Linked DNA regions of Anolis sagrei. The protein of the gene in region 1 purifies or fractionates together with the protein of each later gene. This does not show direct contact. Links are inferred from orthologs where the notes say so. Each region holds a gene or a part of one and is shown on either strand. Other genes may lie near its edges. The genes, in order: IPO4 and ASF1A.

Evidence for each region.
Region 2: the proteins of IPO4 (region 1) and ASF1A purify together in Homo sapiens (affinity purification with mass spectrometry; 4 studies listed by BioGRID and IntAct, counting the BioPlex papers as one, with this or other methods). This does not show direct contact. The link is inferred for Anolis sagrei from reciprocal best matches to the Homo sapiens genes IPO4 and ASF1A.

Annotation. Positions count from the first base shown.
Region 1 is NC_090026.1:7,964,248-7,979,412, reverse strand, and holds the start of IPO4 (importin-4), read right to left. Parts: upstream 6,115-15,165; 5' UTR 5,916-6,114; coding exon 5,847-5,915; intron 2,044-5,846; coding exon 1,957-2,043; intron 324-1,956; coding exon 244-323; intron 1-243. UniProt on the Homo sapiens protein: Nuclear transport receptor that mediates nuclear import of proteins, such as histones, RPS3A, TNP2 and VDR. Serves as receptor for nuclear localization signals (NLS) in cargo substrates.
Region 2 is NC_090021.1:88,887,136-88,903,095, reverse strand, and holds the start of ASF1A (histone chaperone ASF1A), read left to right. Parts: upstream 1-8,887; 5' UTR 8,888-9,193; coding exon 9,194-9,302; intron 9,303-12,352; coding exon 12,353-12,468; intron 12,469-14,290; coding exon 14,291-14,467; intron 14,468-15,960. Other genes in the region: DNA helicase MCM9, read right to left, coding at 944-1,146, 4,601-4,775. UniProt on the Homo sapiens protein: Histone chaperone that facilitates histone deposition and histone exchange and removal during nucleosome assembly and disassembly.

The DNA.
Region 1 (15,165 bases):
ACATGTTTACGACAACTGGGTGGAAAACGAAAGAAAGGCCAAGAAAGAATCACAGTCAAGCTCTTCAAGCTCCCATTTTCTATATTTGCAGTTGTGTAGCATCTGTGACCTTTTGCCTGTTTGGGGACTACAACTCCCATCATTCTTCCCCAGCTGAAATGTTGGAGAGAATGATGAGGGTTGGAGTCCTACAAGATTAGAAAGGACACCGGTTCCCTCGCAGCCTCCTTCTTCAGCACTCACGTGTCCTGCTCAACTGCACTGAGTTTCTTCCAGTGTTTGGTTAGTCGCCTCCTCACCAGCACAGCAGCAAGTTGACGGATCTGAGGAAAAAGCAGAGGATGAGAAGCAGATATATGAGGGAGTCGGAGGGAGAGCCGCAGGGTCCCCACTGTATGTGTATGGCATGCCTAAGAAATAGTTGCAATTGGAAGTTGAGCACAGAATGGTATTGGAGGACTATGAATGCCAAGGGAAGGAATCACCATGTCTTCCAGAACAACTCTGTGGTAAACATCTGGTGTAAGATGACCATATAGAGCAGGCATGGGGCCAACTTGGGCCCTCCAGGTGTTTTGGACTTCAACTCCCACAATTCCTAATAGCCAGTAGGCTGTTAGGAATTGTGGGAGTTGAAGTCCAAAACACCTGGAGGGCCCAAGTTGGCCCAGGTCTGATATAGTCATACTAGGGATGTAGAAATTCACAGAAGGAACGTATTACTTAAATCTGCAAATAATCAAATCCACAAAATGTAAACTTTCAAATCTGGAGGGCCAACTATACAAACGCAGGAACCTCAGCTAAACACAACAAAATTTACATTATGGTCTTGAGTTGTGTACTGGCTACACAGGAAGGTTATAGCGAAGAATATGGGTGCATCTACACACATACAGTTTAACCCCAATTTAGCTTCAATTAATACAGTTCGACCCAATTTAACTCCCATGGCTCCATGCTATGGAATCTTGGGAGTTGTAGTTTGGTGAGGCCCCAGCACTCTTTGGCAGAGAAGGTGAAAGAGCTTGTAAAACTTCAGCACCCACGATTCCACAGCATTAAGCCATGACAGTCAAAGTGGTGCCAAACTATAAAGCCCTAAACCAGTGGTTCTCAACCTGTGGGTCCCCAGGTGTTTTGGCCTAAAACTCCCAGAAATCCCAGCCAGTTTACCAGCTGTTAGGCTTTCTGGGAGTTGAAGGCCAAAACATCTGGGGACCCACAGGTTGAGAACCACTGCCCTAAACGGTTCTGGCCCAACTTACCTGTCTGAACGCATCTTCCCTTATGAATCTGCTAGGACTTTAAGATCGTCTGGGGAGGCCCTGCTCTCGATCCCGCCTGTGTCACAAACACGTTTCGTGGGGACGAGAGACAGGGCCTTCTCAGTGGTGGCCCCTCGGCTATGGAACACCCTTCCTGGGGACATTAGATCGGCCCCCTCCCTCTTAACATTTCAGAACTTGGTTGTTTGAGCAAGTGTTTGAAAATGCAAGGTAAAAGACATAGGAATTGGAACGACTGGACAACGAGATGGGACAATGTTCTTTATTAAGAGACACAAATAGTAAATAATCTATGTTTTAATAGTCTTGTTATGGTTTTATATTATTTGTTAATGTTTTTAAATGTTTTATGGTGTTTTTGGGCATTGAATCGTTGCCACTGTAAACTGCCCTGAGACGCCTGAGGGCTGAGAAGGGCGGTATACAAATACAGTAAATAAATAAATATACTGCATTAATTCTACTGTGCAAATACAGCTTGTGAGAGGTTGGATTTTTTCGCTGGCATCCATCATTACCTGACTGGACATGCCCAAGGAAAAAATACCTTGGGCGTGCCATAAACACACAGTAGGGATCTTGTGACTGGCACCAACAATATCTTTTCAAAAATTCCAAATCAGCTTCAGTAGGTTGAAAATAAGGAGTTGGTTTCACTATGACTTACCTGTGGATCTTGAGAATTGGACATGACATGGCTGAGATGGGACAACGCCTGAGGTTGCTTTAGGGCCTCCTTCAGCTGGGCTGTGGCCTTAGGGCAAAACAGAAACCAAGATGAAAGGTCTGGCAGTCAAATCTATACAAATTCAGCTGGTATAGAAAGTCACTGGGAAGAGGGCTTAATGTGTTTTGTTCATCATTACTTGTTGTTACGTGCCTTCATGTCAAATTCAAGTTACAGTGATTCTATCCTAGTCTTTTCTTGGCAAGAGAAGCACTGATTTCCTCTAAAGCTGACATAAGAGTATGACTTGTCCAAGGTTGTCCAGTGGGTTTCCATGACTGAGTAGGGATTTGATTACTTGTCTGAGCCAGTTTTTAGATCAAAAGTACCCAAATCAAACAATACACACCTAGTGCTAGGAAAAGTTACTTTTTTGGATGACAAGTCCCCAAACCCCTGAGCCAGCACATGGCTAAACTCCCAAAATCCCTCTGAAAACACCATATTTCATCTAAACTAACGTGTACTTTTTTCACAACTATAATGCAGCTTTACCTTAGATTTGTATTTCACCCAATATAAATCTAAGGTGAGTTAGGAAGTTATTATTGAAGTATAAGTTTAAGAATCCTTTAACCACCATATGTCTAGAGTTAGAAAATAATAATAATAATAATAATAATAATAATAATAATTTTCTTACTCGCCTTTCCTTGTGGTTTGAGGCAGGTTACAGCATAATTCAAACTCATAAACATTATAAAAAAATCTATATACATATTAATATAAAAGATACATATTAAACGTATTTCTATAAAATACATATTAAAATACACAGAAGAGGTTAAACGCAAGACACGAGTTTAAAATTCGTGTTTAAATTCAGATTATATTTTTGGACTCAAAGTGCCCTGAATTCCTCAGAAAATATACGCCTACTACTTCATCACACTAGAGAATTAATCCACTTTATGAGTGATGGTCACTTGTTGGCCTGATAGGTGTCTTGTGTCCAAATCTGGTATCAATTCGTCCCGTGGTTTTTTAGTTGTTAATCCCACAAACGAATGTTACATTTTTATTTATATAGACTAGCCGTCCCCTGCCACACATTGCTGTGGCCCTGTCTGTGTAAATGTGTTTTGTGTGTGTATATATATATATTGTGTATATATGTGTATTGTGTATATGTGTATATATGTGTGTTTGTCTATATATGTGGTTTTGTGCATGCGTTATGTATTTTTGATTTTTTTTGTCTTTTAAAGTCTCTTCTGCTGTGTTTTTCTGAGTGATGGTCACTTGTTGGCCTGATAGGTGTCTTATGTCCAAATTTGGTGTCGATTCATCCAGTGGTTTTTAGTTATGTTAATCCCACAAACGAACATTACATTTTTATTTATATAGACTAGCCGTCACCTGCCGCATGTTGCTGTGGCCTTGTGTGTATATATGTGTGTGTATATATTTGTGTATATATGTGTGTTTGTCTATATATGTGGTTTTGTGCATGTGTTGTAATGTATTTTTGATTTTTTGTCTTTTAAAGTCTTTTCTGCTGTTTTTCAGTGTTTTTATGAGTGATGATCACTTGTTGGCCTGATAGGTATATTGTGTCCAAATTTGGTGTCAATTCGTCAAGTGGTTTTTGAGTTATGTTAATCCCACAAACGAACATTACATTTATATTAACTGCATATACTCGAGTATAAGCCTAGATTTTCAGCCCTTTTTTAGGCTGATAAAGCTCCCCTCGACTTATACTCGAGTCAAGGTTATTTATTGTTTTACTCTGTTATTATTATTATTCTCTATTTATTATTATTATTTTCATTTTACTTTATTATTATTATTACATTTATTATTTTATTTTATAATTGTTATCATTACATTTATTATTTTACTCTATTTATGATTGTTATTATTACATTTATTATTTTACTCTATTATTATTCGTAGTAGTAGTATTACATTTATAGGTTAACTTTATTATTTTATTACTATTACATATATTATTTTACTCTATTATTACTGGAAGGATACGTAAACACATGTACATTGAAGAAGGTTAGAATAATGGTTTAGTCAGAGTTGGACAGTTATCTTACAGTAAATATTAATAAACAGTGAATCTACTGATGCTTCAATTAATGTAATTTTATTGGTATCTATTTTTATTTTGAAACTGACCCGTTGCTGCTGCATTTCCCATCCTTGGCTTATACTCGAGTCATTAAGTTTTCCCAGTTTTTTTGGTGGTAAAATCAGGTGCCTCGGCTAATATTCGGGTCGGCTTATACTCGGTATATAGATTGTCTTGGTAATTTTATGTGTATGCTGTATAAGTACACCTGATGTTGTTTATTTTATTGTTTATGATTTGATTTGTTTGTTATGTTATGCTGGCATTGAATGTTTGCCTATCAGCTTGGGAGTGATCCTGGATTCATCGCTGAGCTTGGAACCCCAGGTCTCAGCGGTGGCCGGGAGAGCTTTTGCACAATTAAAACTTGTGCACCAGTTGTGCCCGTACCTTGGGAAGTCAGATCTGGCCACAGTGGTCCGTGCTCTTGTTACATCCCGAATAGATTACTGCAACACACTCTACGTGGGGTTGCCTTTGAAGACTGTTCGGAAACTTCAATTAGTCCAGCGGGCGGCAGCCAGATTAGTCACCGGAGCGTCATACAGGGAGCATACCACCCCTCTGTTATGTCAGCTCCACTGGCTGCCAATCCAGTTCCGAGTACAATTCAAAGTGCTGGTTTTGACCTACAAAACCCTATACGGCTCCGGCCCAGCGTACCTGTCCGAACGCATCTCCCTCTACGTCCCACCTCGGAGTTTGAGATCTTCTGAGGAGGCCCTGCTCTTGATCCCACCTCTATCACAAGTGAGATTAGTGGGGACGAGGAGCAGGGCCTTCTCGGTGGTGGCCCCTCACCTGTGGAATTCACTCCCCGGGGAAATTAGATCATCGACATCCCTCCTCTCTTTCAAAAGGAAATTAAAAACATGGTTATGGGACCAGGCTTTCGGGCAATCTGGCGGTTAGATAAGGACAATGATGACCAGAACCGTGAGTACTTGACATTGTGAAATGAATTTACGGACTATGAGATGGCAAACGCTGAGCATTAGATTGTTTTTATTGATTTTAATATATGGACTAACTGTCTTAATTGTTACAATTGCTGTTTACATGTTTTATCCATTGTTATGTTTATGTTGGCATCGAATTGTGCCTTTTGTAAGCCGCCCTGAGTCCCCCCTGGGGGGTTGAGAAGGGCGGGGTAGAAATGCGTGAAATAAAATAAATAAATATTTTCTGTTGTAAACCGCCCTGAGTCCCCTCGGGGAGATAGGGCGGTAAAGAAATGAAGTTTATTATTATTATTATTTTGTATGTATTGATTACGTTACTTGGAAACCGCTCTGTCCCCTTGGGGAGATAGAGCGGTATATAAATAAAGTTTTGTTGTCGTACTCAGAGCAGACCTGGGCCAACTTGGGCCCTCCAGGTGTTTTGGACTTCAACTCCCACCATTCCTAACAGCCGAACTTGGGCCCGCCAGGTGTTTTGGACTTCAACTGCCACCATTCCTAACAGCCTTTCGGCTGTTAGGAATGGTGGGAGTTGAAGTCCAAAACACCTGGAGGGCCCAAGTTGGCCCAGGCCTGACTCAAGAGAGTTAGGAGTCCGAAAGTAACTTCTGTGGGTCCCAAAAGTAACTTTCCCAAGCCCTGCCCCAAGCCATGCCTGTCCCAGCCTAGCCTCTGCTTCAGTCCCCCACATGGGTGGATATTGTCATGCCCCAAACCCTCTCCCTTCCAATCCCCATGCGATTATTATGATTATTATGATTATTATTAGTATTCTGCTGCTCTACCTGTTGGATGATGGCATTGTCAGGCTGCAGCAAGGCTGACAGGATCCTCTCCAGGTCCCCCGTGGCCATGGCGCAGAGGGAGGGAGGGAGGGGGAAGGCAGGGGGAGGCCCCCCCTCCACCAAGGCAGGAGGAGGGGGGAGGAGGAGGGGGAGGCGCCCCCAAAGCCAGCTGCGAGCGAAGGGCGCCAAGAGGAGCTGCTGGCAGCGGCAACAGTGCCTTGCCAGCACATGTGGAGACGACGAGTCGCCACTTCCGGCCGGAGAGAGCGGCCCCAGGGCGCCCACTTCCGGCCTTTCTCGCGCCTCCCCCAAACAAGCCGCCTTTCGGCCTTCGCTCTGGTTTCCATGGCGACCAGGATTTTTGCGTGGACTAGGCCGCGGCCTACACACAGAGGCGCTTGGGCTACAACTCCCAGCGGCCCTGTTAGGGCGAGGTGATGGGAGTTGTAGTGTTCCACACACACCCCTCAACTGATTAAAAAAAAGAAAGGCCTCTACACTGCCATATGATCTCTTCAGACCACAGTATCTGCTTTGAACTGGATTGTATGAGTCCACACTGCCATATAATCCAGTTCAAAGCACAATTCAAAGTGCTGGCTTTAGCCTTTAAACTAGGACATTAAGATCGTCTGGGGAGGCCCTGCTCTCGATCCCGCCTGCGTCACAGGCGCGTTTGGCGGGGACGAGGGACAGGGCCTTCTCGGTGGTGGCCCTTTGGCTGTGGAATGCCTTACCTGTAGACATCAGACAGGCCCCTTCGCTGTTGACATTCCGGAGGAAGGTTAAGACTTGGCTTTACGAACAAGCGTTTGGCTAAACAGTGCAACTGAACACAGGAAGATGGTAAAATCGAACATAGGAAAATGATACAAGGATTATGAGAACGGATTCTGATTTGCTATTGAGGCGTTATGATATGATAATGATTGATTCTTGATTTTGTCTGTTATGTATAATGTGTTTTAATTGTTTATGATACTGTTGTGATAACCTGTATTATGTAAACCACATTGAGTCGCCTAATCAGGCTGAAAAATGCGGTATAGAAATAAAGCAAATAAATAAATAAATAACGGTTCTGGACTGACCTACCTGTCCAAACGCGTCTCCTCCTATGAACCAGTTAGGACATTAAGATAGTCCAGGGAGGTCCTGCTCTCGATCCCGCCGGCTTCACAAGTACGCCTGGCGGGGACGAGAGACAGGGCCTTCTCAGTGGTGGCCCCTTGGCTGTGGAACGCCCTTCCTGCAGATATTAGATCGACCCCCTCCTTGCTGGCATTCCGGAGGAAAGTAAAGACCTGGCTGTTTGAACAGGCATTCGACTAAGCAGTGTGATTGATTGACTGACTATCGGAACACGGAATATCGGATAACGAGCTTGGATTCTGATTTCATTGATGAGACCTGATGGATTTGTTATATTGATGTAGTGATGTATTGATACTGATGTTTAATGATTTGTAATGCTATTGCTTTTAAATGCTTAATGATTTTGTATTGTGTATACCTAAACTGTTGTAAACTGCTCTGAGTCACCTAATAAAGTAAATAAATAAATAAATAAAGCAGATGATCTGGATTTTATATGGCAGTGCAGAAGAGAATGATAGCCGTAGTCTTACATACCTGGCTGTAGTCTAACATACCTTATTTTGTGCTCATAAGAGCCTATTATTATTATTATTATTATTATTAACTGCTTAGAGGTTAATTATTATTCCATATATTATTATTATTATTATTATTATTATTAACTGCTTAGAGGTTCATTATTATTCCATATATTATTATTATTATTATTATTATAAACTGCTTAGAGGTTCATTATTATTACATTTATTATTATTATTATTATTATTATTATAAACTGCTTAGAGGTTCATTATTATTCCATATATTATTATTATTATTATTATTATTATTATTATTATTATTATAAACTGCTTAGAGGTTCATTATTATTACATTTATTATTATTATTATTATTATTATTATTAACTGCTTAGAGGTTCATTATTATTCCATATATTATTATTATTATTATTAGAAATAACAGTATATTTAATAATTGTTGTTGTTGTTCAGTCGTTTCCGACTCTTCCGACTCTTCCGACTTCATGGACCAGCCCACATCAGAACTCCCTGTCGGCCGTGGCCACCCCCAGGGGCTCCTTCAAGGTCAAACCAGTCACTTCAAGGATACCATCCATCCATCTTGCCCTTGGTCAGCCCCTCTTCCTTTTTCCTTCCATTTTCCCCAGCATCATTGTCTTCTCTAAGCTTTATTAGAAATAACAGTATATTTAATAATTGTTGTTGTTGTTCATTAGTTCAGTCGTTTCCGACTCTTCGTGACTTCATGGACCAGCCCACGTCAGAACTCCCTGTCAGCTGTGGTCACCCCCAGCTCCTTCAAGGTCAAGCCAGTCACTTCAAGGATCCCATCCATCCATCTTGCCCTTGGTCAACCCCTCTTCCTTTTTCCTTCCATTTTCCCCAGCATCATTGTCTTCTCTAAGCTTTCCTTTCTTCTCATGATGTGGCCAAAGGACACATACAGCTCTGGCCCAGCGTACCTGCCCGAACGTATCTCCTTCTACGTCCCACCTAGGAATTTAAGATCTTCTAGAGGGTCCCTGCTCTCAGCCTCGCCCTTGTCACAAACGAGGTTGGCAGGGACGAGGGACAGGACCTTCTCCGTGGTGCCCCCCCCCCCCCCCCCGCCTGTGGAATTCACTCCCCGTAGAAATTAGATCATCGTCATCCCTCCTCTCTTTCAGAAGGACATTAAAAACATGGATATGGGGCCAGGCATTTGGATAATCTGGCAGACTGATAATGGACAATGACGACTAAAGCTTTGGAAACGGAGTATGATAAGCGGAATGAATTTATTAATTACGGACTTGGCAAAACGATGGCCACCAGGCTGGCATTTTATTGTATTTTTATTGTATTAATGTAATGTTTTAACTGTTATAATTTATTGTTACTATGTATTTTACTGTGTGAATTGTAGGCATCAATGTATGCCGGTTGGAAGCCGTCCTGAGTCCCCCTTCGGGGGTTGAGAAGGGCGGGGTAGAAATACCCGAAATAAATAAATAAATAAATAAATTCATCTTTGCCTCTAATATCCTTCTCTCCAATGAGCAGTCGGGCTTTATTTCCTGGTTGGATCTTCTCGCTATCCAAGGCACTCTCAGAACTTTCCTCCAGCACCAAAGTTCAAAAGCATCTCTCTTCCTTCGCTCAGCCTTCCTTTTGGTCCAGCTCTCACATCCATAGGTGACTACAGGGAATACCATGGCTTTGACTATGCGGATCTTTGTTGCCAGTGTGATGTCTCTACTCTTCACTATTTTATCGAGATTGAACATTGCTCTCCTCCCAAGAAGTAAACGTCTTCTGATTTCCTGGCTGCAGTCTGCGTCTGCAGTAATCTTTGCACCTGGAAATACAAAGTCTGTCACTGCCTCCATGTTTTCTCCCTCTATTTCCCAGTTGTCAATATTTAATAATAGTGATTCTCTAACCCTAGGAACCCCCGGTGGCGCAGTGGGTTAAAGGGCTGAGCTGTTGAGCTTGTTGACCAAAAGGTCGCAGGTTCGATTCCAAGGAGCGGCGTGCGCTTCCGCTGTCAGCCCTAGCTTCTACCAACCTAGCAGTTCAAAAACATGCAAATGTGAGTAGATCAATAGGTACCGCTCCGGCGGGAAGGTAAGGGCACTCCATGCAGTCATGCCGGCCACATGACCCTGGAGGTGTCTATGGACAACACTGGCTCTTCGGCTTAGAAATGGAGATGAGCACCAACCCCCAGAGTCAGACATGACTGGACTTAATGTCAGGGGACTAGCTTGATCTCACCTACCTAAGCCTTATGTTGTGCTCATAGGAGTCCATTCACTATTATTATTATTATTATTATTATTATTATTATTATTATTAGAAACTGTTTAGAGCAGGGGTCCGCAAACTTTTTAAACAGAGGGCCAGGTCACAGTCCCTCAAACTGTTGGAGGGCCAGATTGTAATTTGATAAAAAACATGAATGAATTCCTATGCACACTGCACATATTTGTAGTGCAAAAAACACTTAAAACAATGCAATAATTAAAATGAAGAACAATTTTAACAAATATAAACTTATTAGGATTTCATTGAGAAGTGTGGGCCTGCTTTTAGCTGATGAGATAGGATTGTTGTTGTTGTGTGCTTTCAAGTCGTTACAGACTTGGGTTGACCTTGAGTGAGGGCCGGGTAAATGACCTTGGAGGGCCGCATCTGGCCCCTGGGCCTTAGTTTGAGGATCCCTGGTTTAGAGGTTCATTATATAAACTCTTATTTCAAATAATCATAATCATAATCATTGAATCATCAAGTTGGAAGAGACCATGTGGGCCATCCAGTCCAACCCCCTGCCAAGAAGCACCAGGAGGGCCAAAGTTTGCCCAGGCCTGACTCAGAGAGTTAGGAGTACGAAAGTAACTTCTGTGTGCATTCAAAGCACCCTCGACAGATGAACTTCCAAGCCTTCGTTCTAGCTCATGGGAGTCCATTATTATTTATTATTAGTATTATAAACTGCTTAGAGGTTCATTATTATTCCATATATTATTATTATTTGAAACACCACAAGATGAGTCCACAGCAGACACTCTGCTGGCTGTTGTGTTGGATCACACATCGGACACTTTCCAAATGTCTAGGACTGTGTGATGTACCGGCGAATAATGCATGCAGATCCCAATAAGGTGGCCTTCTGCAGCTGGCAGATGGGAATCTTGTCAGCGCCGATTGTATTTAAGTGCAGGCCAAGGTCTTTAGGCACTGCACCCAGTGTGCTGATCACCACTGGGACCACCTTGACTGGCTTGTGCCAGAGTCTTTGCAGTTCGATCTTTAAATCCTCGTATCGTGTCATCTTTTCCAGTTGTTTCTCTTCAATCCTACTGTCACCTGGGATTGCAACATCGACAATCCATACTTTGTTTTTTAACACGATCGTGAGGTCAGGAGTCTTGTGCTCCAAAACTCTATCTGTCTGAATCCGGAAGTCCCAGAGTAGCTTGCCGTGTTCATTTTCTGTAGCTTTTTCTGGCTTGTGATCTCACCAGTTCCTTGTTGCAAGAAGATGGTATTTGTTGCACAAGTTCCAATTAATCACCTGAACAATGGTGTTGTGCCTCTGCTTGTAGTCTGTCTGCGCGATCTTTTTGCAGCAGCTGAGGATGTGTTTCATCTGCTTTCTTGCAGAGTCTACATTTGGGATCTGTTATTATTATTATTATCATTATTATTATTATTAGAAACTGCTTAGAGATTCATTACATATACTCTTATTTGAAATAGTAATAATAATAATGATAACCATAGAGTCATCAAGTTGAAAGAGACCTTGTGGGCCATCCAGTCAGGCTCCTGCCAAGAAGCAGGAAAATTGCATTCAAAGCACTCTCGACAGATGAACCTCCAAGCCTTCGTTTTAACTCATGGGAGTCCATTATTATTATTATTATTATTGTTGTTGTTGTTGTTGGGTTGTTGTAGGTTTTTTTGGGCTATATGGCCATGTTCTAAAGGCATTTTCGCCTGACGTTTCGCCTGCCTCCATGGCAAGCATCCTCAGAGGTAGTGAGAATTATTATTATTATTATTATTAGAAACTGCTTAGAGGTTCATTATTATTTAATATACTGTCATCATTATTATTAGAAACTTCTTAAGAGGTTTTTTATTATTAAATACACTATTATTAATAATAAAAACCTTCTCTAAGTCTTCATTTTAGCTCATAGGGGCCCATTATTAAACAGATTATGATTAGAAACTGCTTAGAGGTTCATCATTATTAAATATACTATTATTATTATTATTATTATTAGAAATATAATATTTAACTTCTAAGCCTTTGTTTTTGCTCATAGGAGCTCATTATTATTTAATATATTATTACTATTATTATTATTATCATCATCCTCATTAGAAACTGCTTAGAGGCTCATTATTATTAAATATATTATTATTATTATCAATAATAATAATTTATTTAATAATAATAATTGACCTCTAAATCTCCAATTTGGCTCATAGGTGCTCATTATGGAGTTGAAGTCCAAAATACCTGGAGGGCCCAAGTTTGCCCAGGCCTGACCAGGTTCAAATCCCCATTCGACCATGAAAACCACACTCTGTGACCTAGTATAAGTCACACACTCTCAGCCTCCAAAAACTCCCACCTGAAGTCATTTCCATGGCTTGTTATGGGGAGGAAATGAGCCAAAGCTTACCGCAGACTAAAGAACAACCAGGGAGCAAAGTCCTTGGTTTATTGAACAGCTCCTGGAATGAAAGCAATAAAGTTTGTCATCTTGTCACATTGTTTACAGACGGTATAATGCAAACCATCCCATAGACCTGAACAAGGATAGGGGAGAGACCCAAAAGCCAGAGGATGTAGATTAAATCTATGGTGAACATGCCCAGAATTTACCAAGAAGAATCGCAATGGCTTACTATACATGTTTTTTGTTCCATTGTTGTTTTGCTGGATTTATACAATGAGCTTTTATAACACTACCTTTATTATGGTATTGTATTTTTTAAATTGCTAGAGTGAACTTTATATTTTCATATTTTTGTTTAAAAGTCACCTTGACTTTGAATGTTTTGATGGATTTTAACTGTGATTTTTTGTAGTGCTGTTTGTGTTTAATTCTGTTTTCATATTTGCATATTTAGATATTTTAAATTGTATACTAATGCTTTGATGTTAATCTGCATTGAGTCTCTTTTAGGAGAGATAAAGCAGGGTATCAATAATAATCATCATCATCACTGTAATCCCAGGTGACAGTAGAATTGACGAGAAGCAACCAGAAAAGCTTAGACAATATGAGGATTTAAAGATAGAACTGCAAAGACTGGCACAAGCCAGTCAAGGTTGTCCCAGTGGAGATTAACATACTGGGTGCAGTGCCTAAAGACCTTGGCCTGCACTTAAAAACAACCTACACTGACAAAATTACCACCTGTCAGTTTCAAAAGGCCACCCTACTCAGATACGCACACATTATTTACCGATACATCAGACAGACTTGGGAAATGTCCAACGTGTCATCAAATAGAAAAGCTAGCATAGTGCTCTTGTTTACTGTGTACTAATCTTGTTATGTTAAGGAGCCCTCGGTGGCGCAGTGGGTTAAAGCACTGAGCTGCTGAGCTTGTTGATCGAAAGGTCGCAGGTTCGATTCCGGGGAGTGGCGTGAGCTTCCGCTGTCAGCCCTAGCTTCTGCCAACCTAGAAGTTCGAAAACATGCAAATGTGAGTAGATCAATAGGTACCGCTCCGGCGGGAAGGTAACGGCGCTCCATGCAGTCATGCCGGCCACATGACCTTGGAGGTGTCTACGGACAACGCTGGCTCTTCGGCTTAGAAATTGAGATGAGCACCACACCCCAGAGTCAGACATGACTGGACTTAATGTCAGGGGACTACCTTTACCTTTACTAATCTTGTTATGTATCTAATGATAATAATAATCGCAATAATAATAATAGTAATAAATCACCTTGACTCAGGATCCCATTATCGAAAGGTGGGATATAAGCGGCCCAGTAAATTTGGAATCTTTGATCAAAATCTTTATGACTTCAAACACATTTCTTGAATAAGAAAACAAGAGGTTATTATCAAGACTTGGAATATCACTATCTGTTACCTTATGTTTGTGTGAATAGATACAGCATAGGTGTTGTTAGTGACAATTTGGAGAAGAATTAAGTTTGGGAACGTTTGCATAAAAGAGCTGGGATGACAAACGTAGCTGTTAAGATTCAGTATTGATAAAGAAAGCCTTTGAGGTTTTCCGCCACTTTAGATTTTCTTTTTATTAATAAAGTTTATTTTCAAGATCTGTAAAAAGAAACTGTTGGACCAGAAACGAAACGAAACCGTCAAATTAAAAAATAACCCAACGTCAATCCTTCCTAATATACATAACTTCTTATATATATATTTTCCATATATAACTATAGGCATTTTCTTCACCCAGGTTTGAGGGGAAAGAAAGGGCTTTCCCTCCACAACCCATCCTTTACAGCGCCAGGCACCATGGGATACGAAAGACATGAAAGGAGAGAGAAAATATATCCATAATTCAGGAGTGATGGGGCCATAATGACCTGATCCCACTGAAAAGTGAGCCTACAAGGCCCCTTTCTCCCTCCAGCATGCAAAGAAGAGGATCCTTAAAAACCGCAGAGAAAGATCCGCCCAGAAAATATATTTATATATGTATCTCCCACCCCAAAAAAATCCCCTCCAACAGCGGAGGGATCTTGATTTTAATCTCTGGGTGGGGAATCATGTCATTCTCCAGGTATTTTGGGGCTTCAGCTCCCAGCAGTCCTCACCCTTCATGAGGAATGATGGAAGTTGCATTCCAAAATGCAGGTTCACATTCCCTAACCTGGCACATGCCAGGTATGTTAGACTACAGCCATCATTCTACTACAGGCAGCCACAATGGCCATGAGCGATGGGAATTGTAGTCCAAACTATCAGGAAGAGTGATAGATTTTGAGGATGAGGGTGAAGGCCACCTTAGTCAGGAAATTCTCTTCCAGATCCAGATAGGACAGTGCCAGCTGGTGCGCCAATTATCATCTATGAAGCCGGCCCTGCCGGCTCTTCTATACTTTAGGTGGCATGAATTTAAAAAAACAAACAAACTTGATTGGTTGGGACCTGTCACCCAATTGCATAAGAGCTCTGAAGGAAGCAAACCATAGTGGACCAAAAAAAATCTTTTCACAGTTTCCAATTGGTCAGGAACAAGAGCCAAACTTGCCTTTTAGGAGGCAGACAGGTCTGATTAAGTTAGCTTGGCTTTTACTGATTGACTAGATTGCATCGCTGATAGAAAGAGAAATCCACAACTAATTGGTCATATTTCCACCAGTGAATAATGAAATTTGCAACCACTCCCACCCCAGTGCAAAAACACATGTTTCCAAACAATGAAAAATAAAAGGAATTCATAATAGTATTTTGTATTTGGCCAGATTTACAGGGTTTGCTGACAAGCTACTTGTCTCGATCGACAAGAGAGTATTTGGGGGTGCTGCTTCCCCCTTTTCCTGACAATTAATTGCCAGGGTAGCAATCTAGGAAATCTGCAAACAATTCTAGCCAATAGAAAGAGAGACCATAGTTAGCCAAAATTTTCATATCTCCCTTGAGATCCCAGCCAATGGAAAGAGAAGGCTACTAGCCTTCTTTCTAGGCTAGTTAATCCGCAAGGAACGCT
Region 2 (15,960 bases), on another chromosome or scaffold:
GCTGAATACACGAAGTTTGAAGTAAACCAACTATGTTAATTTTAACTAAGACTACTTTATTTTTGTCTCTTGAGAGCATGATTTAAAAACAATATATTTTATGGGAGAGTGGATTTTTTGGGCAACTGAAATAACACTTCTGAAGATCTACTATATATTTTGTGAATTGTCATAATCTTTGTTTTTAACAGTTCGAAGAGATAACCAGGTATATGAACCTAATTTGCCTTGCATGAATACTAGTGGATATATACAACTAAAGAGAAGATTCAATCAAATAAGTTTTTAGCTCTTCTCAGGAAGATCATACTTTACAAAAAAGTTACGATTTTCCAAATGGTAGTGAATGCCAATTAATCTCCAAAAGGTCACACTTCCAAAAAGCTTTGGAGATTCTGGTTTTCCAAAAGGTTATGATCTCAAAGATCATCTTTTTCCAAAAGCTTTCCATTAAATCAACATTATTATTTGGGGTATGATAGAACATCCAGAGATGCAGAGAAATGACTTTAAAATTACTAAAATTAGGAAAGCCCAATTGCTTTGAGCTCTTAGATGCTAGATTCATTTCGCTTTGTGTGCATGATTACATTGCTGTTGTGTGTAAGGTTGGGTACATCAAAACACCTAAAAAGATTGAATTTCACTGTCAAAAGTAAAGTTAACAACTTGTAATGATCATATATATTTAAAATATTGCAAAATAGCCTGAGATTATTTATTTTCAAAATGTTTTGTAATCTAGTATAATCAAAGAATATAGTACAATTGGTGGCATACTTTTTTGTTAAAATAGTAGAAGTCAAATGGGATAAATCAAAATACAATTTCCCTATCAGCTGTTGCTATTGATCAGTTTTAAGTGTTTCGTGAACACATGAAAAAAATGTAGCTAGTGTACATGTCAATACGTGGTGTAGAATAAATGCAAACGTCACCATACCTTTATTTTCTAATATGAAGGAAGAAATGACGCGATCCCATTCTTCGTTTTTTGCATCCAGCAATACCAAGACAAGATCAAACCTGCTAAGAAGAGGACTTCCAAGCGCTATGTTCACTGAGACAGATTCATTGGGATCATACTGGCCCTTGGGATTGGTTGCTGCCAAAATAGTGGTCCTTGTGTTCAGTTTGCACACTAAGCTAAAGAGAAAGATGATAGAAATTTAAATAATCAAACTATGAAAAATGTTTAAACTTCTTGACATCTTTCATTTTAGACTCCACCTGCCCCAAAAGCATTTCATAAAATTGTATGCAGAGTGAAATATATCCATGTAATAAATCACATATTGGGCAACAGATGAAATCAGGATCTGGGAAATGACATTTGGGCTGGAGGCCATGCTCACCATTTTAAATGTCAATTAGCCAGTATTTGAATGATTTAATTGGTACTGCATTTCTTTTATTCTAAGACGCACTTTCCCCCCATAAAAACATCTCTAAAATGGGGAGCGCCTTAAAATAGCAGGGGCTTTAAAAATATATAAATAAATCCTTTTTTTTTCTGTTGGTGGTACTGAAATTTGTGTGTGTGTTACAAATGATGGCATCTTAGAATTGAAAAAAATACGACAATACTCTGTTGTTGCTGTTCTTGTTGTTAGGCAAGTGAAATTTAAGTTTGGAAAGCCAGTCCTGAAATCTTAAATCTAGATTCTGTCAGGCACTACATATCCAGCTCCATCCTCATCTTGACTCAAGCTACTAAACTGCTATTAAATTCTACCCAAAAAATCGCTATTTTTAAAAAAAATTGAATAAAAAAATCCTGACTCTCTATTTAAACCCTGGCTCTTCTGCTGTGCCTTTGGTGAGTAGATGCACAACATGACACTACTGCTCCCCACAAAGCTTCTATCACTGGAGTACATGCCCCCCCCCCCAAATTGGAAAGTTTGGTTCCACAACCCTGTGTTTTTTATGAGCTCCCCCCTCTTGTAAATAACTTGCTCCTCTTCTTATCTCATTTGAGTTTTTTAACATTTTATCCTGCACATGTGGCCCGCCCACTGTCACCTTGATTGTGTTATTGTAATGTTATATTGTTATTGTATTCATATGTTTTTATGTAATTATGATGCTGTTGCTTGTTGTTTATGTTTTTGGTTTTATTTTGTTGCAATATGTTGTCTGGGCTTGCCTCATGTAAGCCGCCCCGAGTCACCATTGGGGAGATGGTGGCGGGGTATAAATAAAGATGATGATGATGATTATTATTATTATTATTACTATTATTATTTTCTGGGAGATATGCTGAAGCAGAACAAGATTTCATTTAGATTAAAGAGGCTGGAAGAAATTACCTTTACATATAGAGAGGATCTCAAGTGAACTCTTTACAGCAGTAATTCCCAACTTTTTAGTGCTAAGCCCAGTCTCTTACTATTAAAACACATAATCGGTTGGTAGGAATTATTGCAATTTTCCCCTTTGCCTTTAACTGTATCTTTCTTTGTAATTCTTTTCTTTTCTTTTTATTTTTTTGTTTTTATGTATTTGGAGGTGTATGTGGGTGTGAGATATACATACATACATAAGCAACATGTTTCTTAATACTTCCAACACTGATGTTCTTATGTAGTGATAAACATACTGCATTTAGGGTGAGACACAAATGCTCTTTCTCTCTCTGTATATTATGGTGCGCAGATGTTTTCACAGATGCTTACAGAGTTTCGGTATGCAAACAACTCTGGCTATAATAAGAGTATCTGGAACCAGTACACATTTTCCCTCTTCCTTAATGTATTTGACCTTGACTTAAGGTTTGGTTTCAGAGCTCCAGAAGAGTGTTTTGGTTGCGGCAGTCATAGCATGCCCCCCTTCATTGCAGACAGCTAAACAGCTGTGCGAAATCAGATTTAGGAATAATCTATTTCGAGGTGGTGCCATCTTAGCTCTTACCTCATGTATTGAGTGGGAACAAGTGTAGCACCAATAATCTTAGCTTTCATATCAGTAGTACATAACATGGGAAAAGTATTTTGTCTCTTAGCCAGAAACAACACAAATTCAAAAAAGAAATCGATGTTGACTCTGCTCTATAATACCGTAAGGATTTCTAAATATGGAAGCAAAACCTTGGAGCCCCAGAACAAATACTTGGAGTAGAAAAGGGGTCTAAAATTCCATCTTCAATACCAAACAACGGTTTCATTTCTCTCCTGACTAAAAATGGGTTTTCCCTCCCTTTTTGTTCAAATAGCATCCAATAATGGTCATTTTAAGGCTGTGTTTATGCTCAGTCTTACACTGGTACAAGAAACGGGATTACAGCATAACAATCAGAGCACACGACTTATAACAACTATACTGGTTTCATATAAAATTCTACAGCACACAGCACACTTTGTTCTATTTCTTGAGACCAACCAAGAACGGGCAACTTGGAAGTTCCTGAACAGGTTCAGAAGTGGAGTGGGCAGATCAAAAGACAACTTGGCAAAATGGCACTACCAAGAAGAATCCTCCACCTTGTGTGACTGTGGAGCAGAACACTGCATCTGTATGCTTACCCACTCTGCATCTGTATGCTTACCCACAATGCCTGTCTTATGGACAGATGAATAATTATTTAAAGCTACAGACAATGAGGTCACTGTTGCCCATTTTGGATCTAAAATTATTTAGTCACTGGTGCTTCCTGTATTTTATCAGTTTTATACTTATTTATGCAGTGCTTTTAACATGAAATAAATATATTTCTTGGGAGTGCAAACATATGCAAGTGTGAATATGTCCAATGGAGATATAACCCAGGATTTGAATTTAGGATTTATCTCTATTGTAGAAAAAAATGGCTGTTTGTTGGGAAAGTGGAGGGACAAATAGAGAACAAACTAGCAAGATTAGAAAACTGCTGGTACTCATCATAAAGTAACATCAAGAAAATCTTTCAAAAATCATGCAGTTTGACAACGATGGGACAAAGAAATATGTATGAACACCATAGGGAATAACATCACCATCAAGTTACTCCAAACTCTCTTTAAGGAAGGCTATTGTTTCTCAGGAATGAAAGGATATATTTTGTAGGCCAGGAGTAGGCAATTCCACCCCTCCAGATGTTTTTGGCCTACAAGGCAAGGGATTTCTGGGAGTTGTAGGCCAAAACACCTGAGAACCCACTGGTTGAGAACCACTGGTCTAGAAAGTCTTCACCTAGGAGCCCTTTCTTAGACCTAGAGAGAGGACACCCTGGGCTACACAGCATCAGGAGTAATGAATCACGTCATTAGCATTCACTTGTAGTGCCTTGACTCACAGTGCCTGCCTCTGGAGAAGGATCCCTCAAAACTAATAATTTGGACTTGCTCAACTCTATATTCATCGCAAGGCCCTTTTTCAAAACACCTTTTGTTTCGTTCTCAAATAGAGGCAGAAAGGGGAGGGAAGCATCTCTCTTCTGTGAATGCCTAAGCTGCCACTATGGACCACACTGGTTCACATGGAATATCAGTGAAAGTGTCAACAGACAAAAATGAAAAAAAGGGGGCACAGATGCTAATTCATAGCACATAAGGAAAAACAGACACTTACCCAAAGGGCACAGATGCTAATTTGTAGCACATAAGGAAAAACAGACACTTACCCAGCTTTTGCTACACTGATTGTTTGTTGCTCCATGGCCTCATGAATGCTGGTTCTGTCATGTTCTTTGATGCTGTTAAACTCGTCAATACAGCAAAGACCCCCATCAGCTAGAACCAACGCGCCAGCCTCCAAATTCCATTCTCCAGAGTCTTTCACAGCAGTGACCGTCAAACCTTCGGGGGGGGGGGGGGGGATGTTTTTTTTAATAATTTGAAAAGTTGTTTTTTTTACAGTGAGTGTTCAACTCTGGCTGAAGAGTAAGCTTTGAGTAATGCTTGTTAAGGTACCTTTCATACTATACAATTATTGCATTATAGTTACGGTGGTGTACAATGAAAACTCTGGAGACCATGGCTCAAATTTCCACTTGGCCATGAAACCAATTGGGTGATCTAGAACAAGTCACTCTCATAGGTCCTTTCCACACAGCTGAATAAAATCCCACATTATCTGCTTGGAACTGGAATATATGTCAGCGTGGACTCAGATATCTCAGTTCAAAGCAGATATTGTGGGATTTTCTGCCTTGGTATTCTGGGTTATATGCCTGTGTGGAAGGTGACGAAAACCTCTTCTGAACTAATCTTCCAAACAAAACCCTGTGATAGGTTCATTTTAAGACCACCTGAAGACAGAAATCACTTGAAAGCACACAAAACAACAACAGCAACTTCATTTCAGCTGCCAAGTTTCTACCCTATGAAGTCATGGGGAGCTCACTGGCTGATAAATTTAAATATCATTCCCTGAAAGGAAAAATCCCAGGATTTCGCAAGAGGGAACCGCAGTAGTCAAAGTGGTATGATAGTGCTTAGCACAGCGGGTTAAACCGCTAAGCTGCAGAAAATCCTGCCGCTCGAAAGGTTGGCAGTTCAAGCCTGGGTTGGGATGAGTGCCTGATGTCAGCCCCTGCTTCTGCTCACCTAACAGATCAGAAACAGAAATGTGAATAGATAAATAGATACCACTTTAAAGCCGGAAGGTAATAAAAGGGGTCCATAAGGACATGCCGACGATTCAATTGGGACGATACCTATAGACGTCAAAAGCTCTTTGGCGTGGAAGATGGAGTGACAACACCCCCCCCCCCCCCCCCCCCCGTGGCCAGAGTTGAGCACAGCCTCCAGATGCTGGAAGCAAAAAAAAAAAAAAAGATGAGAAAGCCTTTTCCTCTGTTTAAGTGTTGTCTGTCCTTGTTAACTGTATAACGGCATTGAATATTTGCAGTATATGTGTTCTATAATCTGCCCTGAGTACCCTCAGGGAAATAGAGAGGAATATAAATAAAGATGATGATAATGATGATGATGATTATTATTATTTGAAACATAACAAGATGAGTCCACAGCAGACAAGATCACTCTGCTGACTGTTGTATTGGATCACACGTCAGATTCCCAAGTGTCTAGTATTGGCAAATAATGCCTGCTGATCCCAGTAGGGTAGCCTTTTACAGCTGGTAATTTTGTCAGTGCCAATTGTGTTTAAGTGCAGGCCAAGGTCTTTAGGCACTGCTCCAGTGTGCTGATCACCACTGGGACCATCTTTACTGGCTTCTTGTTTTTGTTTTTGTTGTTATTATTATTAGTTGCTTAGTGTAAAAGATCTTATGGTCTTAGAACTCATGAATATGACAGAGTTACTGAATATAGGTGAACAGAAACAAGAAACTCCTGGCAATGATCCAGTTACAGAATGAGGGAGTTGTAGTCCAATGTACTAGGAAGACTACGTTGCGAACGTTTCCTCTAGATAAGGGTGCAATTGGGCAGCCTGAAAGATGGCTGCGGGCCACTGGCACAATGGAGGGATAAAAACAATTTGTGGTGTGGCCCTTCAGGCATGGGGATCCCCGGGTCTACTGCTTGGGGATCCAACAGTGCACCAAACCGTATAAAATTCTTCAAGGAATGCCTGATTCATAGCTCTGAGCCATGGCACTTAGTGGTGCCACACTGCATTGATTCTATAGTGTTGGTGCACCCTCTCCAAACTGCAATATGCTGAAAATGAAACTGATTTGCAGCTACTGTTTTCCCTTTTATGGACATAACTGACATTTTTGCCCTTAGCAACCAACCAATGTTGGTTATCCACGAGCCTGTTTATGTATGTAATGCAGGGTCACAATTGATTAAAAATAATCCGTCAGCAGTGACTTGAGAAACTTCAAGTCGCATATAGTGTGAGAATTGGCCATCTGCAAGGACGTTGCCCAGGGGATGCCCAGATGTTTTGATGTTTTTACCATCCTTGTGGGAGGCTTCTCTTATGTCCCCGCATGAGAAGCTGAAGCAGACAGAAGGAGCTCATACACGCTCTCCCCAGATTTGGACCTCCGACTTGTCGGTCTTCAGTCCTGCCGGCACAAGGGTTTAACCCACTGATAAAATATCATGCTGAGACTGAATTGAAATGTATTTATATGAGTTTGGATCCTTGCAGTATTAGATAACCAATTCTGTTTCCTTATCCATCCCTCTCCCTCCACACACATTTCAGCAGACTGCTTGTCCTTGAAATCATAAATGTCATTTGAAAGGGAGCTGCAGCGGGTTAAACTGCTGAGCTGAAGAACTTGCTGACAGAAAGGTTGGCGTTTCAAATCTGGGGAGCGGGCTGAGCTCCCATTGTTAGCCCCAGCTTCTGCCAATAGCAGTTTGAAACATGCAAATGTGAGTAGATCAATAGGTCCCACTTATGTGGGAAGGTAATGGTGTTGCATGCAATCATGCTGGCCACATGATCTAGGAGGTGTCTACGGACAACGCCAGCTCTTCGGCTCAGAAATTACCATTATCTTTGCATTAAAGCCTTGAATGCACTGGTTCTCAACCCAGCCAGTTTACCAGCTGTTGAGATGAGAACCGGAGGCTTGCAAGGTGAACCACTGCTTTAGTGATTCACCCACGGGCTGCCAACAGAACAACAGAACTGGAGTGTACTTCCCCCACACAACCAAGACAATACCACGATCAAATAACCAAGAACACTGAGTGCCATGTCCCACGACTCAGATAATGAATAGCAAATGAGTAATAAATACTCCATAAGCCACACAAGTGAATAATCAGACGCTACTTCACAATACAGTCATAATTCACATGCTGAACAAGCACTGACTAGGAAACATAGAGATAAATTGTCCAGAAAGTCAAATCATTATAAGCCAGCCTCATATTCATCAGGAAATAGCAGTGTAGGACAGGTGACTAAAATGATCAAAGTTCTGGAGAACAAGCCCTATGAGGAGCAGCTTAAAGAGCTGGGCATGTTTAGCTTGCAGAAGAGAAGGCTGAGAGGAGACATGAAGGCCATGTATAAATATGTGAGGAGAAGTCATAGGGAGGAGGGAGCAAGTTTGTTTTCTGCTGCCCTGGAGACTGGGATGCGGAACAATGGCTTCAAACTACAGGAAAGTAGATTCCATCTTAACATGAAGAAGAACTTCCTGACTGTGAGAGCTGTTCAGCAGTGGAACTCTCTGGCCCTGAATGTGGTGGAGGCTCCTTCTTTGGAGGCTTTTAAACAGAGGTTGGATGGCCATCTGTCAGGGGTGCTTTAAATGTGATTTTCCTGTTTCTTGGCAGGGGGTTGGACTGGGTGGTCTCTAGGATTGTAGGCATGGGCAAACTTTGGCCTTCCTCCAGGTGTTTTGGACTTCAACTCCCTACCAGCTGTTAGGAATTGTGGGAGTTGAAGTCCAAAACACCTGGAGGAAGGCCAAAGTTTGCCCATGCCTGGTGTAGGCTGGAGGCTCTTCCACATAACTTCAGAATATGGAGGCAGAAATTCCCACATTATCTGAGTGTGGACTTAGAATCATAAAATCCTAGAGTTGGAAGAGACCTCGTGGGCCATCCAGTCCAACTCCATTCTTCCAAGAAGCAGGAAAGTTGCATTCAAAGTAACCCCGCGAGATGGCCATCCAGCCTCTGTTCAAAAGCTTCCAAAGAAGGAGCCTCCACCACACTCCGGGGCAGAGAGTTCCACCGCTGAACAGTTCTCACAGTCAGGAAGTTCTTCCTAACGTTCAGATGGAATCTCCTTTCTTGTAGTTCTGAGCAAATATTGTGGGATTTCCGAGATATAGGGCGGCGTGGAAGGGCCCTGGCTGCAGTCTGGATGGCGTGGGATGTTGGGCACTGAACCCGGGAAGCCTTGGTCAAGAGGAGGCAGCTCCCTTGTCTCCCTCGGCTGCTTCTCCGGCAGGTGGAGCGCCAGGCGATGCTTGGCTCTGCTTCCAAGCCGGGCGCCCTTCTTGCTGGGCCCGGGAAGGAGCGGCCTCGCGGCGGGAGCAGCCAATCCGCGCCTCCGCAAGCCCGTTTCCACGCGCGGAGTGGGCCCGCCCGGGGAAGGAAGAGCGGCGCAAAGAGGCGAGCGAGCGAGCGAGCGAGGGAAAAAGCGAGAGAGAGGAAAGAGCTCCCTGCGAGGGAACCAACTGGGGGAGCGTGGCTTGGCAAGGGAAGGAGACAAAGCGGATTAGGAGCGGGCTCACTCCCTGGGAAAGTTTCCCCAACTCCTGGCTGGCTGGCTGGCTGGCTGGGGCCCCGGGGCCCTCTTTGGAGGAGGAGGAGGAGGAGGAGGGGCCATGGCCAAGGTGCAAGTGAACAACGTGGTGGTGCTGGACAACCCCTCGCCCTTCTACAACCCCTTCCAGTTCGAGATCACCTTCGAGTGCATCGAGGACCTCTCCGAAGGTGAAGGGCTGCAAAGGGAGAGAGAGGAGGGAGAGAAGGGAGAAAGAAAGGCACAAAGACAGCACTCAAGTTGGGAGGCACTTGTTGGGCCAAGGCTGGGAGCAGCCATGTTGGGCAGCCCTAGGGCGGGGAAGCTCATTGCACACACAGGAACACGCCTATAGACTTCTACACACACACTGAAGTTATACACATAAACAGTTGTACAGACACTTATAGAGAGGCATGCTCACACAATTGCACAGAGAAACACTTATGCAGAGACAAACACTAGAACACAGACACAGGCAAACACTTGTACACAAACATATTTATGGAGACATACAGTAACACCTTTGCACACACAAACACTGCTGGGAGCAACCATGTTGGGTAGCCTTAGAGTGGGATTGCAGGGGTCTAGGCTCTTTGCACACACAGGCACACGCTTATAGACTTCTATATATATACACACACTGAAGTTATACACATAAACAGTTACACAGACACTTATAGAGAGGCATACCCACACATTCACACACCGAAACACTTATGCAAAGACAAACACTGACACAAACACTACGACACACACACTTATACACATGCAAACACACTTGTACACAAACATAGCAATAGAGACACACAATAACACATTTGCTTATGCAGAGACAAACACTGACACAAACAAGAAAACAGTAGAACACAAGCTCACTTAATAGACATGCAAACACACTTGTACACAAACACACTTTTTTTGGCACACAGTAACACACAGAGACAAACACTGACACAAACACAGGCTTACATGCAAACACTAGAACACTGACACACTTATAGACATGCAAACACAGTTATACACAAACACAGTTATGGAGACACACAATAACACATTTACACACAAACACTTACGCAGAGACAAACACTGACACAAACAAGCAAACAGTAGAACACAGGCACGCTTATAGGCATGCAAACATTCTTGTACACAAACATACACTGTGTTTTTGCATACATAAGCACTTACACAGAGACAAACACATGCTTACATGCAAACACTAGAACACAGACACACTTATAGACATGCAAACACTTGTACACAAACACACAGTTATAGAGACACATGATAACACATTTGGACACAGAAACACGTAGAGACAAACACTGAAACAACCACACATTTACACGCAAACAGTAGAACACAGAATTGTGCCGTTTGTAAACCGCCCTGGGTCACCTTCAGGTTGAGAAAGGCAGTATATAAACATGGTAAATAAATAAATAAACACAGACACACTTATAGACATGCAAACACGTACATAAACATACATTTGGTTATAGAGACACACAAGAATACATTTGCACACAGGAACACTTACGCAGACACAAACACTTGACACAAACACTAAAACACAGACACACTTATAGACGTGCAAACACACTTGTACACAAACATAGTTATGGAGGCACACAATAACACATTTGCACACAGAAACACTTATGCAGAGAAAACACTGACACAAGCACACATGCTTGCATGCAAACACTAGAACACAAATACACTTACAGACATGCAAACACACTTGTACACAAACACACTTAGTTATAGAGACACAAAAATACATTTGCACACAGAAACATGCAGAGACAAATACACAAGGCACAAATACAGATATATGCTTACACACAAACACGTTTATACATGGACGCACACTTGTACAGACACATGTTTATATATGCAAGCACACTTTTATACACACACACACACAATAGTTACACAGACATTTATGCGGACATGGTAACATATTTGCACACAGAAACATTTATGCAGAGAAATACTGACTAACAAACAGACCCAACTACACACAAACACACATACGCTTGCATGCAAACATACTTATATATGGACACACACTGTTAATACAGACACACATTTATATATGCAGTTACAAACAGTTACACAGACACATGTATACTTACACTAACACACATTTGCACAGAAACACTTATGCAGAGACACACTGACAGACATGCAGAGACAAATACACACACATTGACACATGCACTCTTACATACAATCACATGTATACATGGACACATACTCTTACACACACACACATTTATATATACAAACACAGTTACAAACACTTACACGGATACATTGACACACAAACATTTGCACACAGAAACACTTATGCAGAGAAACGCTGACACATACACAGACACATGCAAACACACAGAGACACACTTACACAGACACATTTAAGGTATACAAACACACTTATACAGAAACAAACACACTTATACAGACACTTACATTAACAAACATTTACATGCAAACACGTAGCAATAAGCACTGACACATATACAGATACAAATACACACACACAGACATCTAAACACTCACACATACACTTACATGCAGATACTAGCAGGCACATATACAGGCACACATACTGACACAAACTTAGATATGCAGACACAGACTTACGTGCAGACATGTGGACACAGACTTACTTGCAGACATGTGGACACACACATACAGAGACATGCTTATTCACAGGCACACATACTTCCATGGCTCAATGCTGTGGAAACTTGTGAGTTGTAGCCTGTGTAGATAAAGCTAAAGACCCTGTCAAACTGCAATTCCCACGATTCCATAGCAATCGACCATTGCAGTTAAAGTGGTACAAAAATGCATAAATTCACCAGTATGGACACAACCAATACCTGGTGCCACCACACCTGGCAGAATATTTATGGCTCATGCTAAAGTACAATTAGCAGAAGGCTCCATTTGATTTGACTGAAACCAATGGTAAGGTATTAGTAGGTAAATAATAACAATGTAGCTTCCCCCCAAAAATTAAGTGGTGCAGAAACATTTTTGGAAATAGTGATTTTCAAGATTTGTCTTTGGATAAAGATGTTTACAATCTCAAGCTCTTTTTTTCCTCTCTTGCTTAAACATTGCCATATTAGGGATTGGGAAAAGTGACACTAGAAGTCAATTCTGATACTTGTGGAGCTTCCAAGTACAATTTCATGTTGTTTTTTGTCTTCTAATGTAGATTTGGAATGGAAAATCATCTACGTGGGCTCAGCAGAAAGTGAGGAATACGACCAAGTTTTAGATTCCGTTTTGGTGGGCCCTGTACCTGCGGGAAGGCATATGTTTGTTTTTCAGGTAAGTTTTCTCTTATGCCTTACTGAATTATGTTTAGATGACATGACTATGCGACAGGTCACAAATTCTAATGTTAAATGTCCACAAAAACTTTAGACTTATCACATAACTGTAGTGGTTAGGAGATCTAAGCTTTAACTCATATGTGCAAGTCTGGATGCATCACTCTTTATGATAATAATAGTCAATGGTTTCTCTGCAGAGGAGAGAATGCGGCTGAGCATTTTCAGTGTTTCACCAATACCTGATAGGCAACGAGAAGAACAGGACAATCTTGGCCTCATCTCCACTGACCATTTAATGCAGTTCAAAACTGGCTTCAAACTGTGATGGCCAGACAACAAACTCCCACAAAATTACACCCAAGAAAGCTCTAGTTTGTGTGATAACCATCCAGGCCTCAGACAGGTTCCAGGATTCATCAGCACAGCAAAAACACTTCGTTTAATACTGGTTTGAAACTGCATTAAATGGTCAGTGTAGATTAGTGTCCTTGTTTTATACCCTTTTGTTTTATTTGGTGGTGTTTTATCTGATTGTTATGCTTTGCTATGTTTTATTATAATTGTATTTTTTTTTGTTTTTAATGGACTGTTTTGTTTTGATGGAGGCCCGTTCTTTGGAGGCTTTTAAACAGAGGCTGGGTGGCCATCTGTTGGGGGTGCTTTGAAGCCAATTTTCCTGCTTCTTGGCAGGGGGTTGGACTGGATGGCCCACGAGGTCTCTTCCAACTCTATGATTCTATGATGTTTTGTGGACATTTTGTCCCATGTGTAAGCCGCCCCGAGTCCCTTCCAGGAGATGGAGTCAGGGTACAAAAATGAAATTATTACTGTTATTATTATTGTATTGTTGAAGGCTTTCATGGCCAGAATCACTGGGTTGTTGTAGGGTTTTTGAGCTGTATGGCCATATTCTAAAAGCATTCTCTTCTGACCTCACAACCTCTGAGGATGCTTTCCATAGATGTAGGCGAAACGTCAGGAGAGAATGCTTCTAGAAAAATCTACAACAACTCATTATTATTATTATTATTATTATTATTATTATTATTAGCGCCTAAGCCCCAGAGTCCAAGCGAGGCAGTGCCCGCCAGGTATTCAGGTGTCCTAGTGGTGATAGAAGTTGCAGCTGAAGAATATCTGAACAGCCACAAGATTCCCGTCCATGCGCCTTCTTTTTCTAACGTTGAGTGAGTGGCAGAGATAGCCTTTCCAAACATGCATTTAATGTTGTCCAGCTACTTTGTTTGCTTATTTATTTATTATGTTGGCTTTAATAATTATGGCTTAACTCTTAATTGGATATCAATAGCATATTGGGGACCTGTTGTCAGAGATATTGAAAGTTTAGCTAGGCCACTTAAGTATTCTAATATTTTGTGCGTGTGTGTACACATAAGCTTTCAGGTGGCCCAACTTGGCTTCCAAGCCATTCACATCTTGAAAAACAAAGATATATCACTTTTCAAAGCACTCTTTAATTGATTCAGCCCCTCGATTTGGATTATGTTCAGAGCTCCATTTCCCTCCCCCACCTGCTCTTTTGTGAGGACTTTATTTAAAAACTAATTTAGATATGTTTTAAATTTTATCTAAATGCCTGAGCCCAGTGCCTCACAAGTTGCAAGACACAGAAATGCAACATTAGGTTAAATTATTCAAGAAGCAACTTTTATATGATGGATTTGGGGCATTCACATATGTTTTTTTACCATGCTAAGTGTCTTTATCAAGGAGATAGATTATGAATTGTTTATTTTAAAAGTGGAAAAAATGTTCTCAGTACTTTCCTAACTTTTATTTGTTTGATTTGGCTGCAGGCAGACGCTCCTAATCCAGCACTTATTCCTGATGCAGATGCCGTAGGAGTAACAGTTGTATTAATCACATGCACCTATAGAGGTCAAGAATTTATTAGAGTTGGCTACTATGTAAACAATGAGTACACGGAAACAGAGCTGAGAGAAAATCCTCCAGTAAAGCCAGACTTTTCTAAGGTAGGACATACATGAACGTACTTCAAATTTAATTCAAATAGAAGAGAAATGAAACCCACGAGCAAGCTAGTGGTTTCTTAAACAAAAAAAGTGACTTGTATTTGGAAGTCTGAAAGAATAAGAGTTCTAAATCTGAATTCATCTTGGGCAGTCATCAATAAGTATATCTTGCTCTCCCTTTTGGAAGCCATCAGTTACTGTGTCTTATTCCTATATATAGGGGATCCCAACCTGTGGTCCGTGGACCACCAGGCATTGTCCGTAGATGCCTCCTAGGTCATGTGGCCAGCATGATTGCATGGAGCGCTGTTACCTTCCCACAGAAGCGGTACCTATTGATCTACCCACATTTGCATGTTTTCAAACTACTAGATTGGCAAAAGCTGGAGCTAACAGCAAGAGCTCACCCCACTCCCTAGATTCGAATCGCCAACCTTTCAGTCAGCGAGTTCAGCAGCTCAGCGGTTTAGCCTGCTGCACCACCAGGGGGCCCTGACTTACCCATTTATTATACCAAAATCCATAATGTTGCCCCCCAAATCTGCCTTTATACATTCGTAATATTACCTTGAAGCCTGTTCATTTATAATTATACATACTTGAATTGGAAAAAAACCCCAAGTTTGTTCTAAGCTATATACCCATACAATCCTTTTTTGTCTTGTGTACCAATCTATTACTTTACACATCTTCATAAAATATTTTTAAAAAATATTACTTTACAGGTGCATCTAATATAAAATGTCATTAGCTATAGTGTAGTAGCACAGCCCCAGTGTGAGACTGGGAGTGGCTCCAGATTATATGAGATTAACATTGGAATGTATGAATAATAGCTACTGAGCCATGTATAGAGAAAATTTTTCTCTTGCAAAACGAACATAGCTATCCTCACAAATGAAATGTGCTATGTTTTGTTTTGTTTTTTAAAGTAGAATTTAAAGAAAATCAAGAGTGAAAGAATTGTTCTCTTTTCCTGCACCCTGGAGTTTTACTATAATATTTCAGCTGGCAAAACAAATATGTCCAGATCTCTTACAACAATTAGTCTCGCATTTAAGCTTACTTGTTCTGTTTGCTCCAGACAGTATCGGTTTGATTCCATTTGAAATAATGTGTGTTGGCATTTAGAGTAGTGGCACTGGTTTACAAAATTACACAAGTTGACAAAACAGAGCTCATTTTAAATTTTAAGCAAACATTAAACATTTAGTTTGCACAATAAAATGTGCATATAGCTGTCAGCATAACAATGAAACTTTATGGGAAATATACATGATTTATGATCCTTTGCTGAGGCAGTAAAGTCAGGTGAGGCCCCAGCAAGAGCTCCTCCATGGTTAGTTTTAACAGTTGAGTTACTACGAGTTCTTACAGTGGAACACCATAGTTTGTTTAGTTTTTGAGTATGAAGATCTGGGCCACAACTGCCAAGGACATTAAGTAGAAAATAGGATTCATGGTATGAGAAATTAATGGGCCCGAATGATGGT